Arabidopsis thaliana: one gene and its partner. The protein of the gene in region 1 interacts with the protein of each later gene in a biochemical or structural test. Each region holds a gene or a part of one and is shown on either strand. Other genes may lie near its edges.

What was found.
Region 2: of the proteins of SARK (region 1) and AT5G02760, one has a biochemical effect on the other in vitro, tested with the Arabidopsis thaliana proteins (one study listed by BioGRID).

What each region holds. Positions count from the first base shown.
Region 1 is NC_003075.7:14,907,442-14,916,666, reverse strand, and holds SARK (Leucine-rich repeat protein kinase family protein), read left to right. Parts: upstream 1-5,220; 5' UTR 5,221-5,626; coding exon 5,627-5,738; intron 5,739-5,832; coding exon 5,833-5,965; intron 5,966-6,050; coding exon 6,051-6,122; intron 6,123-6,217; coding exon 6,218-6,361; intron 6,362-6,480; coding exon 6,481-6,552; intron 6,553-6,635; coding exon 6,636-6,695; intron 6,696-6,796; coding exon 6,797-6,897; intron 6,898-6,973; coding exon 6,974-7,105; intron 7,106-7,181; coding exon 7,182-7,526; intron 7,527-7,603; coding exon 7,604-7,983; intron 7,984-8,078; coding exon 8,079-8,474; 3' UTR 8,475-8,725; downstream 8,726-9,225. Other genes in the region: ATG18B (autophagy 18 B-like protein), read left to right, coding at 9,074-9,135.
Region 2 is NC_003076.8:621,129-628,996, reverse strand, and holds AT5G02760 (Protein phosphatase 2C family protein), read right to left. Parts: upstream 3,744-7,868; 5' UTR 3,621-3,743; coding exon 3,329-3,620; intron 3,254-3,328; coding exon 2,892-3,253; intron 2,735-2,891; coding exon 2,498-2,734; intron 2,402-2,497; coding exon 2,180-2,401; 3' UTR 1,873-2,179; downstream 1-1,872. Other genes in the region: MOS11 (Protein MODIFIER OF SNC1 11), read left to right, coding at 1-154, 278-364, 457-594, 702-765, 867-896. UniProt on the Arabidopsis thaliana protein: Dephosphorylates and represses plasma membrane H(+)-ATPases (PM H(+)-ATPases, e.g. AHA1 and AHA2), thus influencing negatively plant growth and fitness. Promotes the apical hook maintenance of etiolated seedlings.

The DNA.
Region 1 (9,225 bases):
TGTGCCTTTCACCAAATCGGATAGCTTGATTTTTTTTATGTTTTTGTAATAAATTAGGGAAATGTACCAATATGTTAAACTATTCACGGTTATTCTCAGTCACTACGTACATTAGTCGATTATTGCTAATCAGTACATGCTTGATTAAAAAACGTTTAAATGATGCAATTAAAGTGAGCAAAAATAAAAAGATTTAGAAGAGAGAAAGTGAGGTAGAGTGTACAATGCAAGAAAAATGACTGTTCTGGCAGCAAGCTCAAAATCAATGTAAGCCTAACCATGATGCTATATGTGAATTTTCTTGCTAATTTATTTTGTAGTATCGTTTAAAAATATTTAACTACAATTAGTATTTTAGGTTTTTGCTACAATATTCTTGGGAAAAGTGAAGTATCTTGAATTCCCTCTCCCCTTGTGGGGTTTCTTGTGTTCTCGAAGCCCAAAACAAAAAATGTCATTTTCACATGGGTCTTCGTGTATCAACCATTTACTAGTTAAACAGATGTCATATATATTGAAATTTCCCACGAACAAAAGCTATATAGCGAGGTAGATAATAATGTACATATACCGTTACTTAGATCTCTTGCGATGTAAGCGAATGTTGTTGATAAAGAAACACATGTACGATTAGTATGAACTATGAACAAGAAACCTCGTTGTTGGTAGATATAATGTTCTTTGTCACTTGCATTGGTTTGGACCAATTCAACACCTGGATATTTATGTGAAAGCACTAATGAATCGATAACAACACAGAAAATTGATTTCATATTAAAATATCAATACCATATGTTTTGTTTCATTGTGGTGGTTAAGGATTTAGGGATTAGGATACACGAAGAAATTGAGCTCATGGGATAGAACAAAGATTTTTCTCAAACGATGTTGTTGATTGGGCTCAGATTTTGGGCCTGTTATCCCATGAGCCCCTCTTCCTCATCCGATTAGGTTTTAGTTTTAACAATGCATTATGTCCATTATTTTGTCAAATGGTCCATTTTGTTAATGATTTTAAAGTGGTTTTTACATACAAATTTTTAGACAATTTGAAATGATTGGAATTTGCTGTAAAAAAAAAAAAAGATTGGAATTTAGGTCCGGGATTGGTCTACACTTTACTGGATCACCCTTATTTTGAAATAATAGTTTATTTCCCTTTTTTGTTCTACACTTATATTCATTTTGGTTTCAAATTCTCTGTTATTTGTTTCTTGTGTCCTTTATGTCATTTCTTTTTTGGTATTAGACTATTAGTTAACAAAATTATTATAATTGTGTTCAATAATGTCTTCAGTATGAATTTTCTTTTCAGGATTTTTAAGGTAGGAAAAATATGAAGTGAAGTAAAATCTAAAATTACCTTTTGGTACAAAATCTATAAAATATACACAAGTTCAAATCCTAGGTATGTACTCCATTTGTCCTTTTCATCTTTATATTAAGAAAAAAGATTGTAACTAGTAACTACTAACCCACTAAAGCAGTCAGTTCAATTTATTCCTGACACATGCTTACTTAAGTATGTAGTTTTCTTGTATCAATGCTCAGTTGCTTAAGTCTATGAGTATAATATACTCCTAAAGAAGTAGAAAGATTATAGAACGTGGAAGAATCAGGTCGACCATATGAGCAATGGGAAATCGCAGGAGAATAAACGCACTCCGACGAAGATTTCCTTCCCCTTTCTCTCTCTTTTTTCCTTTACTTTAACTTCAACTTTTCTACTCCTTTTTTCAGTTTAAATATATTATACTATATCTTGACCAACAAAAATAATATATTATAGTATATATTTACATTTTTTACGTAAATTTAAAAAACCAAAACAAAAGTTTTCATTTTTACGTAAATTCACTAACTTCTCACGTAAAACCCATGCTGTGATGATGCTCATACTGATATTCACAAGATTGGGAAGATGGTACGGTTGATAAAAAAATAAGACGGCAAAATGAAGAATTTGGAAACAGTTAATCACACATAGTTGGTAAAATTCAATTAATTATCACAATATTTAGTAAAAGCTAAAATCAAGTACTTCAACTTCCACTAATTAAATATATGATTGATGACTCATTCTCCATTGCTAGGGCCTAGGATGCACAACAATAATGTTCTGCTACACATTGAGCTAGTCACACAAACTTGGCCCTGATACCAAAAAACAATATTAACAAAAGGACTTCAAGAGAATAGCATATATAATTGGTGCAATTTGTGCATATCCAGAATATGGTCCTGGGAACAGTAAGATGAAACAAAACCTTACTAAGAGAATTAGAGAGGAAAATATCCAAACTTTGTATGTGGTGCAAATTATTGGGAAGATGATTCTACTTTTGTAATCCTTTCATGAACATTAATTATTTCCTCCTTTTTCCGTATGCTTTACATGATACTTCAATTTTGTAAGAATATTGGAACAGATGCCAATAACGCATTATACTATTGATCTGCAGCGAGATTTGTCCCATCATCCAATCTTCTCCACTTTAGTGGAAGATCAAAAAATTTAAGTCTTACAAATTCGGTTGGATTGTTATAGCCACACGATAAATCTAACTGTCATGTTAAATTATTTGGGAAATATGCAACATTTTTCTCCCGTAAGAATAGGATTTCATTTATATATAGACCGTGAATAAAAACGATTTTGTCATAAGTTTTATCAAACCATGTGTGCGAATAACATATTATGAAAGTTAATTAGGGCATTTATGTAATATATATGTGAAACAAAGTACACAGATGCATGCATGATGTAAATGGATCATTGATATAATGTGACATAAAAAAACAAGGTAATTGGTTACAAAGCATCTCGATGCTTACCTCATCTTGCTCAACCTAATTCGGCATTTTTTGCCACTTTCAACTCCGTACTTCTTTATGGTTTGTGACATTTTAATGTTGTCATTCACTAACATTTTCGGTGAACACAAGATTCATTTTCTTTATAAAAAGCCATACAAAATTTCCAATAACACTTGTTTTTTGTAGTCAAGACCTTTTTCTTTTCCTTATTGACTACGAGTTTGAGTGCACCGTTACGCACGATGCAAATGGGCAATGCATGATTGATTATTTATTAGTAAGTACATTTTAACAAAAACTTAAATTCATTTTCTAGCATATTTACCGAAAACTTTATCAAAAAACATACATTCGAAACGTGGGGGTCATGAATGTTCTTGCAGTAAAGTAAGATGTGATTGAAAGGGAAAAAGATAGAAAAGTAATAAAATAAGATAAAAAGACAAAGATGTAATTATTAGACCCTTCAATTAAATTAATACGAAAGTAGGAGGAGGTGGGCCAAAATAATGACAAAGAAATTAGAAAGGCGAAAAAGGAAAGAAATCAAAAGTATAGGGACTTATCATAAATAATGTAACAACACAACCTCATCAGGGCAAGTGTGTGGATTCACCTATTTCAGGCATTTGTTACTTGTTGCAAGTTTCTCTTCGTATCACTATCTCATGTTGTTTCGTTTTGACATATTTATACAATAATTTCTTTATATGCGAATCATTAAATATCATTATCATTAAAGTTCAAATTTAGGTAGGGAGATATCAAATATCAAATTTCATCTTATGGTGAAATACTGTTTTCATTAAGATGGATTTCTTTAGAGAAGAAGACAAAAGAGGAAAGAGGATGAAGCTATTTTAGAGTGCATCAGTCCTCTAGCCTGTCACTGGTAGTCCTACTACATTACATCAATGTTCTCCAATTTGTTTTATAAAATATAAATTATTTTTTTACACATAATAAAATTAGAAAATTATTGAATGTAAACCCAAGTCGATTTTGGTCAATTCATCGTCCATGTACAATATGCAGATGTTTCTTTTTAAAAATCTTTATATATAACTTCTATGTAAATTTTTTTTTACCCCTTCTGTACCATTTGCTCTTATCATAGTTTAGCTTACCGTTTAACCAATCCATTTTAATAGAAATAATAGATCTATCATGCCGGTAAAAATTACCAAAAAATATTGGGTTTAGTTGTTAACTAAGGCCCTGTTTGTTTGATCAGTTAGCATTTGCATTCTAATGATCCATTTACATGATTCATTTGAATGGTTTATTTGAATATGTTTGTTTGATTATTTGATATTTTTTCTAAATGATGCATTTAAATGAATATTTTTTTATTTGATTATTTTGTAATTCATCCACATTTTCATTTAGATAAAAATAACTAAAATACTCATGCTTTCACTTTGACAAATGAAAGTATTTTACGGTTTTGGCGGGAAAAATGATTCTACGGTTTTGGCGGGAAAACAAAATTTTGCGGTTTTAGCGGGAAAACAAAATTTTGCAGTTTTAGCGGGAAAACATAATTTTGCGGTTTTGGCGGGAAAACATGATTTTACGGTTTTGACGGAAAAACATGATTTTGCGGTTTTGACGGGAAAAATAATTTTACGGTTTTGGCGGGAAAACATGATTTTACGGTTTTGGCGGGAAAACATGATTTTGCGGTTTTGGCGGAAAAAATAATTTTACGGTTTTCGCGGGAAAACAAAATTTTGCGGTTTTGGCGGGAAAGTATGAATTTAACGTTTTGGCGAGAAAAATGATTTTATGGTTTTTGCGGAGAAAATGAATTTACAATTTTGACGTAAAATAATAGTCCGCGATTTCATGATTCTTAGAATGTTTTTTTGGTTTAATATGTAATTAAAATTTTTATATTAAATTAGAAAGTTATAGAAAATTAACATTATTAAAAGAGGGTATATTTGTCATTTGTTGTTTTTGAGTAAACCATCTCCATTCAAATGGTCCTATCAAGTCTATCCAAATGAGTTTCATAATTTTGCTTAATTTTTAAAAATCATTGAGATGGATCATCCAACTGATTCATCCAAATGGTCTCTTAAATTGTCAAAAGCAAACATCATTTTTCATCTCCATCTAAATAATCCATCTGGATGAAGAAACAAACAGGCCCTAAGTATCGTAATTATATACCGCTTTTTTTTTTTTTGCGTTTTACATCTATTAAATTTTTTGTACTGTTTTAAAACTTAGTCTAATTTAGTTTTAAAATTTATATGTAATTTAGTCTAATTTAGTTTTATATCTATTAATCGGACTTATTAAGACTAAATTAGAAAAACATATATGGTTCCAAATATACAAAAAAATTGGCATTAAGAAGAACAAAAAAGACAAAGAAAAAGAGTGAGAGAGAGACTGGAGTAGACCAGCATCCACCATCCCGGGTCCGACAGTCCGTATCAGCATCCCCTGATTCACTCTCTACAAATGTCACTCTCTTGCCTCTCTCTCCCTCTCATTTAAACGTTTTTCGGCTTAAACCTTTTCTCAGCAACAAACTCATCTCCTCTGAGAGAGACTGTTTGTTTGAGAAGAAGACGAACGTAAAGACTTGTTTACTAAACCCGAGATTTCTTTCTTTCTTGTTTTCAAAATAAAAAAGCAGAGATCTCTTCTCCTTCTTCTTCTTTTTGCTTTGTTTGCTTTTGCTTTCTCTTCTTTTTCTATGTGTGTTTGTGGTCACTACCCCGAAAAAAAATAAAGTAATGCTGTCTCTCTTCTCTTCAAAATTATTGTTAACCTCTCGTAACTAAAATCTTCCATGGTAGTAGTAACAAAGAAGACCATGAAGATTCAAATTCATCTCCTTTACTCGTTCTTGTTCCTCTGTTTCTCTACTCTCACTCTATCTTCTGAGCCCAGAAACCCTGAAGGTAAAATTTGCTTCTTTTATTGTTACTTTAGTTTAAAAATTGGATCTTTTTTCTCAACTCTATAACAAAAATCCGTTTTTTTTTTTTTTTACAGTTGAGGCGTTGATAAGTATAAGGAACAATTTGCATGATCCTCATGGAGCTTTGAACAATTGGGACGAGTTTTCAGTTGATCCTTGTAGCTGGGCTATGATCACTTGCTCTCCCGACAACCTCGTCATTGGACTGTGAGCTTTCTTTTCTTCCGAGTTTGTTTTCTGCTTTTAGAGTTCATTAATGGCGACAATTTCTCTCTCTATCTCTCAATGGTAGAGGAGCGCCGAGCCAGTCTCTCTCGGGAGGTTTATCTGAGTCTATCGGAAATCTCACAAATCTCCGACAAGTGTAAGATTACGACATCCTCGGATCTTGTTTTCTATAATATAAAGTTTGTCTTTTTTGCTTGTTTCTCAATTCCAATTTTTTTGCTTTGTTTGAAGGTCATTGCAAAATAACAACATCTCCGGCAAAATTCCACCGGAGCTCGGTTTTCTACCCAAATTACAAACCTTGGATCTTTCCAACAACCGATTCTCCGGTGACATCCCTGTTTCCATCGACCAGCTAAGCAGCCTTCAATATCTGTGAGCTTAGCTTTGCTTCTCTCCTCTGTTCTTCAATCTTGTTTACAATGTAATGATGATTTGTTTTCATCGGTTCATTAATCATCTTAATAACCTCGTACGAATTGAATTTCCAATAGGAGACTCAACAACAACTCTTTGTCTGGGCCCTTCCCTGCTTCTTTGTCCCAAATTCCTCACCTCTCCTTCTTGTGAGTGTATACAGATTTGTCCTTTCACCTACTGAAGTGTTTTGTTTTTTTTTGTCTGAAATTTAAATTCTTTTGAAACTCAGGGACTTGTCTTACAACAATCTCAGTGGCCCTGTTCCTAAATTCCCAGCAAGGACTTTCAAGTATAATAAACCTTAAGTTTCAAAATTTGAAGTGATTTCACAAATTCTTGTAGTTGAAGTCAAGACTAAGTCTTGCTTCTGCTTTCCTTTTGAATTTGTAGCGTTGCTGGTAATCCTTTGATTTGTAGAAGCAACCCACCTGAGATTTGTTCTGGATCAATCAATGCAAGTCCACTTTCTGTTTCTTTGAGCTCTTCATCAGGTAAAAGTCTCGTTCTTGCAGTGTTTTCATCATTGTAATGATCCTTTCATTAATCAATACTTGAGTGTGTGTGTAGGACGCAGGTCTAATAGATTGGCAATAGCTCTTAGTGTAAGCCTTGGCTCTGTTGTTATACTAGTCCTTGCTCTCGGGTCCTTTTGTTGGTACCGAAAGAAACAAAGAAGGCTACTGATCCTTAACTTAAACGGTTCGTCGATTTGAGCTTGTTGCTTATATAACTTTGATTCAGGAAGATGTTGAGTTTTTAGTTTTGCTTTTAGCAGATAAACAAGAGGAAGGGCTTCAAGGACTTGGGAATCTAAGAAGCTTCACATTCAGAGAACTCCATGTTTATACAGATGGTTTCAGTTCCAAGAACATTCTCGGCGCTGGTGGATTCGGTAATGTGTACAGAGGCAAGCTTGGAGATGGGACAATGGTGGCAGTGAAACGGTTGAAGGATATTAATGGAACCTCAGGGGATTCACAGTTTCGTATGGAGCTAGAGATGATTAGCTTAGCTGTTCATAAGAATCTGCTTCGGTTAATTGGTTATTGCGCAACTTCTGGTGAAAGGCTTCTTGTTTACCCTTACATGCCTAATGGAAGCGTCGCCTCTAAGCTTAAATGTTAGTATAATGTCTTGAACCATCAGTCCAAATCTCATTTTCGATGAGTTTTAACCAATTTTGTTTAACTGTTGTAGCTAAACCGGCATTGGACTGGAACATGAGGAAGAGGATAGCAATTGGTGCAGCGAGAGGTTTGTTGTATCTACATGAGCAATGTGATCCCAAGATCATTCATAGAGATGTAAAGGCAGCTAATATTCTCTTAGACGAGTGCTTTGAAGCTGTTGTTGGTGACTTTGGACTCGCAAAGCTCCTTAACCATGCGGATTCTCATGTCACAACTGCGGTCCGTGGTACGGTTGGCCACATTGCACCTGAATATCTCTCCACTGGTCAGTCTTCTGAGAAAACCGATGTGTTTGGGTTCGGTATACTATTGCTCGAGCTCATAACCGGACTGAGAGCTCTTGAGTTTGGTAAAACCGTTAGCCAGAAAGGAGCTATGCTTGAATGGGTAAGAAATGACACTCAGAAGTACACTTTCTTGATTACTTCATAAGATCAACCAAATTAACATTTTCTCCGGATGCTGTTGTAACATTGGTTTAGGTGAGGAAATTACATGAAGAGATGAAAGTAGAGGAACTATTGGATCGAGAACTCGGAACTAACTACGATAAGATTGAAGTTGGAGAGATGTTGCAAGTGGCTTTGCTATGCACACAATATCTGCCAGCTCATCGTCCTAAAATGTCTGAAGTTGTTTTGATGCTTGAAGGCGATGGATTAGCCGAGAGATGGGCTGCTTCGCATAACCATTCACATTTCTACCATGCCAATATCTCTTTCAAGACAATCTCTTCTCTGTCTACTACTTCTGTCTCAAGGCTTGACGCACATTGCAATGATCCAACTTATCAAATGTTTGGATCTTCGGCTTTCGATGATGACGATGATCATCAGCCTTTAGATTCCTTTGCCATGGAACTATCCGGTCCAAGATAACACAATGAAAGAAAGATATCATTTTTACGATGGATCAAACAATCCAATGAAAAAAGCTCTACACTTTTATAATATAGACATGTATATGGTGGTGAAAATTGATGAAAAATATCTCTACAGTTTGAGATTATGTGTTCGTTATGTTGATGATGTATATATTAACTTTTAATTGTGAGTTTCTATGATTATTTTGCTTCCTTTAACATTATGATGATGACAAAGGAAGAAACTATGAGACTGATTTGTTTGAGTCTTTTCTTTTGACCAGAATCTGATTTGCTCTCTCTCACACATACTCAAAATCGTATCAAACAATTCCTGAGAATTTATCTTTTGTAGTTATCATAAGCTGCTGCTTTGTGTTTGTGGTCCTTTAAGCTTAATGTGTTGCGACTTTTGTCCAACTTTGACTCTCATGTGTCATTTTCAGTTCTCATCACAAACCAAACAAAGCTTATCCCACTCAATCGAAAACGTCGTCGTTCTGAAAAGTAACAGAAGAGAAGAAACGACAGCGTTTTGAGAAGAAGAAGACGAAAAACAGAACATATATAAAAAGCAGAAAACATTAAGACAGCTGCTTAAACAATTTGGGAGACATGGCGAATCTGTCCTCTCTTCCTTCTCCTATCTATTGTGTTTCTTTCAATCAAGATAACAGGTGAGTTCTTCTTATTTATTTGAAAATCGTTGAAGATAGCGAATTCGATTCTCTTAGTAGATTTTCGAGGAAAAGTTCTTCTCAGATAAC
Region 2 (7,868 bases), on another chromosome or scaffold:
AAACCGACTCTAATGGTATTGGATCGACGGCTGGTGTTGATTCTGGGGATATCTCTCCGGTCGATGATATCCAGAAGAAGATTCGACGTGCTGAGAGGTTTGGTGTTTCGGTGAAATTGACCGAAGAGGAGAAGCGCAATTCTCGTGCTGAGAGGTAAAGACTTTAATATTTATTCGTTAGATTCCGTCGAATTTAGGGGTTTCGAAAATTAGGGTTACGGAATTTTTTATACTTATTGTCAAACCTATGTTGTAAGGAATTTCACCTTCGGTGCAGGTTTGGTACTGTAGCTGCAGCAGTGGTGAATGGCTCAGAGGGAACGAAGAAAGCAGAGGAATTGAAGCGAAAAGCAAGAGCTGATAGGTATGTCACAATACTTTCTTTGTACTTGATAGTTGTTTATTGGTTGGGTTTAGAGAAAAAGGAGTTTCATACTCGCTTTGTATTTTGAACAGATTTGGGGTTCCTTCTGCGACCTCTACTACTGATAAGACTGAGGAAGAGGCAAAGAAGAAAGCTAGGCTCGCTCGTTTTGGAAAAGAGACTAAAGTTGATTCTGCTGAAGAAAATAAGCGCAAAGCTAGAGCATTGAGGTACTTTTTCTATGCAACCTCAAATTCTTCTAGTCCCTGAGAACTGAAGTACTGTGCCATGCTTTCTAATTATTGATTTTTGTGGTTTGTGAATTTCCCATCATTAGGTTTTCAAAAGAGGCTTCAGCAGATGCATCTTCAGATTTACCTGAGAAGCAAATTATTGGCAAGGTAAACAGTCTTTTAACTTCTGTTGTGTCGTCCATCTGATAGAATGAGAGAATTGATAGAAAAGCTAATGATATCTCTTGTTGAACTCTTTGTTTCATCAGGAGGCAGCTGTATCAGGAAGCGCTGCCTAAGGTTCCTCAATAAAGTTTTTCCGTCTTTGTAGTTAGGTGAGTTTTTCCAGATAATTCTTATTGCATTGCAAACTCTTGTTGATACGATTTTTTCTCGTATTTGACTCCATAATCTGTTATATGGGCAGGTAGTGTGCTAGCGTTTTATGAGTCCCTCTCTGGCTGCTTCATTCTCTCTTTATTTCTGAATTAGAAGTCCATGTGTGTAGTATCTTTACTAAGTTCGGTCGTGGAGCAATCACCAGATGAGATCTTGAGAAACCAATAAGTAACCTATAGTTCTGATTGTCTGAAATGACAATTATCAATGTGTTTAGGACCTAGGAATTCTGAAGTGGCTGGTATTGATGTTTTCCATGTTGCAGGTTCTTGGAGTGGTAAGTATAGTTTGATTAATAACTTTATTTCGTTTTAATATATTGGAATGTGGATGGTCCTTTTAGTATTGCATGTTCGTATCAAGCACAAGCACCAGCAATTGAAAATTTGTACTGCATGCAGCAAATATTTAAGTAAGGGAGACATTTTTTTACTGTTTTGAACTAGTTAGAAATTAGAAGTGTTGATTACTTTTGAGTTGTGCCTATTTTGCTAGTTTTTCTTAGTCTTGGTTACGAAATTTAGCTGGTCTACTGGTGTTCTGTGCTTGATTGCGAATATTGCATGCAAAATGGATCCCATAAACATGTGTCGTTCTTAGGTTACTTAATTTCATATGACCTCTCAAGCCGCTACTTCAGAATTTCTTTGTCATGTAAGACATCATTAGAACTATAGATGTACTTGTTGGTTTCCATATCTCTGGTCTCTATGGCAGTTGAAGGAAAGAGAGCCTCAGATTCTAAATTCTCTGTTCGTGGGACTGCGTTTTTGCTGGCTTCTGATGCTACACAGTTTCTTTGTTTCTGTAATAGATTTTAGATAAACTTTTGTTGATACTTGCTTTCTGTTAATTTTGAATGAAGCGCCAGAAAACTTTTATAAAGGGAATGTAATGTTAAGTTTCAACACATTTCTTGGCTATCTACTGTTTTGTGCCTAAACTCCAATATGTTGCAACGCTTTCGAATTTTACCAGCGTTGACATTGATGATATTGCATGCAAGTACCCTCGTGTATAATTTTGCATACAGGGGTACATGAGAATTCATGTTTTCTTGTGGAGAACATATCAAAGATCTCATAACTTAATATTGTTTCTAGCTATACTACTAGTTCTTTTCTTGACCCTGGCTCCAATTTATTGCCCTTGACACAGGAAGTGTTTTTGCCGTAAGATCTGTTCATGATGTTGAATGCATCGGGTATCCCCCTCTAATTGACAGAGGTGAAGCCCAAGAATTGGTTTTGACCGGGTGGGGGTTGAGATAGACCACAATAACGGTTATATCGTCGTGGAAATGCCTTCTTACACCAGGATGGATCTCTGTTAGGTCTGAGTATCTCATCTCTCTTTTCTTTGCTGCTTCCTTCAATGCAGCTTTAAGTAGTCTCCTTGCTATTCCCTGTGATTGTGAAGGTATTAGTATTAACGAATAGTTCTTGGTGTGCATTGTGCTAGTATGTAACGTATTTGTATATGGGTTAGGCATTGAACTTACTTGTCGAGGGGAATTATGCACAATATCAACAGCTTCCTGGTTGCTAAGATGCTCCCAAAGCCCATCTGAAGCAAGAATTATAAACTCATCTTGTGGGCTAAGCCGCGTAATGGTGACTGATGGATCCGCACTAAGGATTGGCTTAGTGAAATGTTCTGGTAGTCTGAATTTGGGCAGCAAAGGTTCTCTGTTGAACTCTGCTCTTTTGAGGTATGCATCACCTATGGATCTTGTGACCTGGTTAAAGGTCATAACACATTTGCTAGTCAGTTTTACATCCTTACACAAGATAGGCTTCAATATATGATTTTCTTAAGCTTTTGTATTTCATAGAAACTGATGAAGCAAAACTCTGTGCAGGTTATCAGATGCGTTATCATGTATGAATGTTTACCTGGATAACGCCTTTCACACGCCACAAGCGGTGCTTCATCACAAGAATGGTGGGGTCATTAGGATGCAATGACCATAGCTCTTGCCTCGCAGACTCAAGATTGGCATTGTGCTCTACAGATAACTGAACAGCTCTCACTCCACCTCTCTCAGATCTGCCCAACACAGCTCTGGAATCTCCCGTGTTTGCAATATACACCAATCCGTTGCATATCACTCCTGCCAAGCAACATGACCCCACTGATGCCATCTGTGGGTTCGTAGGCCATTGCTTCGTCACTGTCTTGAGAAAATCTTTGTCTGTCTCGGCAAATGCTTTGCTGATCACCTGCTCTGAAATCTCCCTACCCTCGGACGCAAACTCTGTTCATGTGAGACCAGTGTTAGTGTGCCTGGCAGATTCAACAATAAAGGAAATAAAAAAAGTCGGTGTCTTACTCTTTAACTTGGGGAAGATGTTGTCTGCAATGAATCTGGAAGCCTCTGGACCTCCATGGCCATCGTAAACTCCAACAAATGTGCCTTGAACTGTCGGATTGTTGAATGTAAGCGGCCCTGATTCGATCTGGCACTGATCCTCCATCACACTGTTGGCTTGGATCATTGCCATGGAAAACTCTCCAAAGGTGTGAAGACCAAGATCTTTGTACCATGTCAAACCATCAACCTTTGTGGGATTGATCTTACTTCTCTCCATACCGGCACCTATTCTCCAACAGGGTTTAACCATCTTTCTCAGGTATGTAATCTTCGAGCAATATCGTAATATAAACAGAGAAGAACTCTATATAGAATAAATTGATGGAATAATGATAAACTAGTAGTAGCAGTGCTGGTTGTGAATTATGAGATACAAGTTTAAGGAAGGGACCATATATATATAGCCGTGGAAGCCCTAGAGTAAGTGTGAAGGTGTTGGAAAGCAGGGAAAGAGGCCAAAAAGGGTATGGGTCAAAATAACTGAAAAATTAAATGGTTCTGAGAGTTAAGACAAGAGGGCAGTAGTTTAAAGTGGATATTCAGAGATTCTCCTCTTTACTGTTCGATGATGATTCTCTGTCTTAGTAGGGCTGTCATATTCTTTTCTACTCTCTCCTATATTTATAACATCATGTAGTTATTATTGCGTTAAAAGTGTCTCTCCTTTCTTAGAGGTTAATAATCTTGTAAAAACTTAGGAAGCAAGAATGTTCTCATTATATGATTAATGACTTCTTAGAGGTAACAATATCTCATGTAAACGTCTGTTTTCACATTGGTTGTGTGTTAGTGTCTTTATTAACTCATCTTGTAAATGAGTTTTTGGCTTTTGTTTGCAAAGTGGTAATTTGTGGGAAGAAAATGGATAGAAAAGGAAAGGTCATAGGATGCATGTGTGGGCGTGGGTTTTGGGAGCATTGAACTTGGAACCATTTAAAGATTTGAGAGCTGAGAAAGACTGAAGAGAGAGGAGAGAAGACATTTGTGGGGCGACTGAGGAACACTCTTAGCTGTCTTAACCCCTACAGGTCTTTGCCCTTTTCTCAGTCTCTCGTCTTTCTTTTTTTTACCTTTTTCTTTAATGTTATCAAAAGCTGATCTCTTACTTGTTGTGAGATTCAGATCGAAATTCATGTCATGGATAATTATGGGGCTGAAATGAATTTTCAAAGAGGATGGATCTTTTTGGTACTTTTGCTAAGTTCCATTTTGCATGACCCCTCATTGGCCTTCCTCTGTCCCTCCTCGTTTTTTCTGTTCATAAGGATCCACCGATTTGATGCTACTGTAGAGAGAACCACTGTCGTGTGTTGATAGACCAATTTCATCAACGAGATTGTTTAAATTTCTATATGTTATCTAATGCATATGTCGAAGTTAGATCGAGTTTTCGTTTTTCGTCTATCTTTTTGTTGTGCTTCGAAGTTAAGAATTCAACAAGTGGGTTACACAACTTCCACTTCCACTTGTTTTTTTTAATGATAATAATCTCTTGAGACAAAAACATGTTAGGCTCCCTAATTCGATCTTTTAAAACAAGAAAAAACACACACACAATGATTTATAGTGGTTTACTTTAAATATCAAAATTACGTTATCCTTTTGTTTTTGTTTCTTCTAGCTCACGAGTCACAAACAATGAGAAATGATAACAATGATTCAAATAAGGAATACAAGTGGATCCGCAACTTAGGCTCCACAAATATAATAAACGGATTAAAAGATACCAAAAAAAGAATTTTCGTATTGGATGCATATAATTTAGGTTTAACCAATTGTTATATTGATATTGGATTTACTTCTACTTGCTTATTAATTTTGTTGAAAGGTCTTTCATTCATTTCTTATATTTGGTTTCGCATATGACGGTTCCACTAGTTCGATAAGGCCAACCTCATCAATTGGTGTGACTTGACGCATAATTTGGTAAAAAGTTTGATGCAATATATAGATCTAATTGAAGTCAAATCAAAAGAGTAAGAAAATCACGTGTAAGATAGTCTAATACAAATAGAAAGAATGGTCCAGGTACATTTTATCTTAACATATATTCACAAATAACTTTCATAAATATTGAACCATTTTGTGAGAATCACATGTGGCCTTGGAACGTATTGAAGGGTCCTTGAATGCACCATTACAGTACATACAGTGTATTTTCATGTGCTCTCTATCCTTAATTAATTTCCTATCCTTATTACGAAAAAAATTGAACAACTTCAGTCTCGATCGTTTTGATTTAAAAAGATAACAAGAAAGAAGAATAAATAAATATTATAGAATAGAAAACAAAACAAGTTCCTATATCAAAAAAAAAAAGAGTTGTGGTGACAGCTGGGCCATTGATGCACTGTGTTTTGTCTTTTGGTTGAGGGAGCATGGATGTCAGTCTATCTCTTTAGCTTCTTACTTCTTACTTATTAGCTTTGTTTTCTCTTTTGTATTGTTTAATATTTAGCTTACCATTGGTGTTTTTATTCAACATTCATTAACTTACTTCTTTAGTAACTATATGTCTTTATCTATATTAAGGTTTATCTTCGATAGAAAGGTCAATTTGGTATTCGATATCACACTATAATCTGAAGTTAAAATGTCTCGGGTTGTCTTGTTTTTTCATATAGAGAAATACCAATATCAAAACACTTTCAATATTAATGTATATGATAGATATGTAAATGATTGATTATGGAGTTACTTCAGTATCTGCGATATCCATGGTTGGAATTGCTTCTACAAAGTTTACATCGCATGCATCGATGCAAGTATAAGACAAACCTCCTCAGAAAGAAATAAAACAAATCGAATAATATGGTTTTATCAATTAATAAGAAAATTGAATGCACTCGCATCGACACTGTCTCTAATTTGAAAACTGATGTTATCAACTACAGTATTTAATTTGGAGTAAAATATAAACGAGCATTTAAGTACATCTCATCTTTCGAGAAACCTAGGTTACAAGTAAACTGAACCTACCTTTAAGAAAAGGAATCTTTAAACGCTAATTATATGTGTTTAAGCGTACCGATATATAAGAAAACAGATCCAATTTAGCCTAACATTTTCTTTAGGTTTGATTGATCACAAATAAGAAAATGAATAAAAGTGGAGACGTGGGCACGTAGAGTAGACGAGAGTAAATAGAATGCATGGCATGCAGGAAACATGAGACAGACATCGTGAAGGTCCCATATTGTCTGGTCGATCCAAACCTTGACATATTATCACAACACTATCTATCTAGTAACTAGTGTTCTTCGTATTGTCGTAGTACTTTATCAATTATCATCTCATCACATTGCAATTAACTAAAATTTTTATATAATATTAGATTTTGATTTTGTTATCTAGCTAGTTGCAATTGTATCTGGACGTACTATTATCACTTTGATTTTGTACCTTTCATTAGATCTCTCATCTTAGCTTGCAACTTAGTATCCATCATCATTATTTTCTGCAATTTAAAAAAATATTTTCTATGTACATGTAGTTAATACATTAGAATTTTATTTATAGCTCATACCCCAAAAACTACGCACATATTACATATGTATATTATATTAATTATTAACAGTAAGCTACATAAAATTTGTGGATTTGCGAATTAGACCAACCGTTATTACGTTAATAACAATATTGGAACTTTGTTTTCAAAACAAGAGAATATATCATCGAATCCACTGTCAAAACATACAAATTATCGAAGTAGCTATACTTCGACAGTTTGATCTGCGTTCACCAGGAATCACTTGTTTTAATCGCGTATTTTCATTTTGACGAGCGCAATTTTTACGTGCAAGTGTGCAACTATTAGTTGGTTCTCATCAAGATTCAAGACATTTCTATTTATCTCAAAACCTTCGATGGTAGTTTGATAGATATGTTGATGATTTGTTCAATTATTTGTTGAGAAAAATACTCTTCGAATCTTATATAATATTATTAATATTAGAATATTTATCTTCTTTTGTTTTTCTTCGTGACTTTCCAGTTTTCACGATAGAATAGATGCACATGACTTTTTGATCAACACTATTTAATTGATTGATTTGATCAAAATAAACTTTATTTAGATATTATTTTCGTTATGATATTTATATCATAGTTAGTTATATGAACCGTTATTTGTCCTGGTAGAATCGGCCCAGCTTTGAGAATGTAAAGCAAGCTTCCATTAAATTATCTAACTTGTATTGGGCTACGTAAGGCCCGAATATAGAAAGCTCAAAAATGTATTTAAGCCCATTAGTCCCGAGACTGAAGAGCAACGTGAAATCATCAATGGATGGTGATATGGGGAAAAAAATTGTAACGCGATCTTTTGTTTGTTGTCGACATGTCATCTTTTGATTTCATTTTCCCACCGATTGACTATAGAATATGGGAACAAATACATGATTGAAACCAATGCTCATATACATGAAACAATTAATTTTATTTTTTTTGGTCACTATTAATTTGGTTTCTATTACAACATATTTACGAAATTCATCGT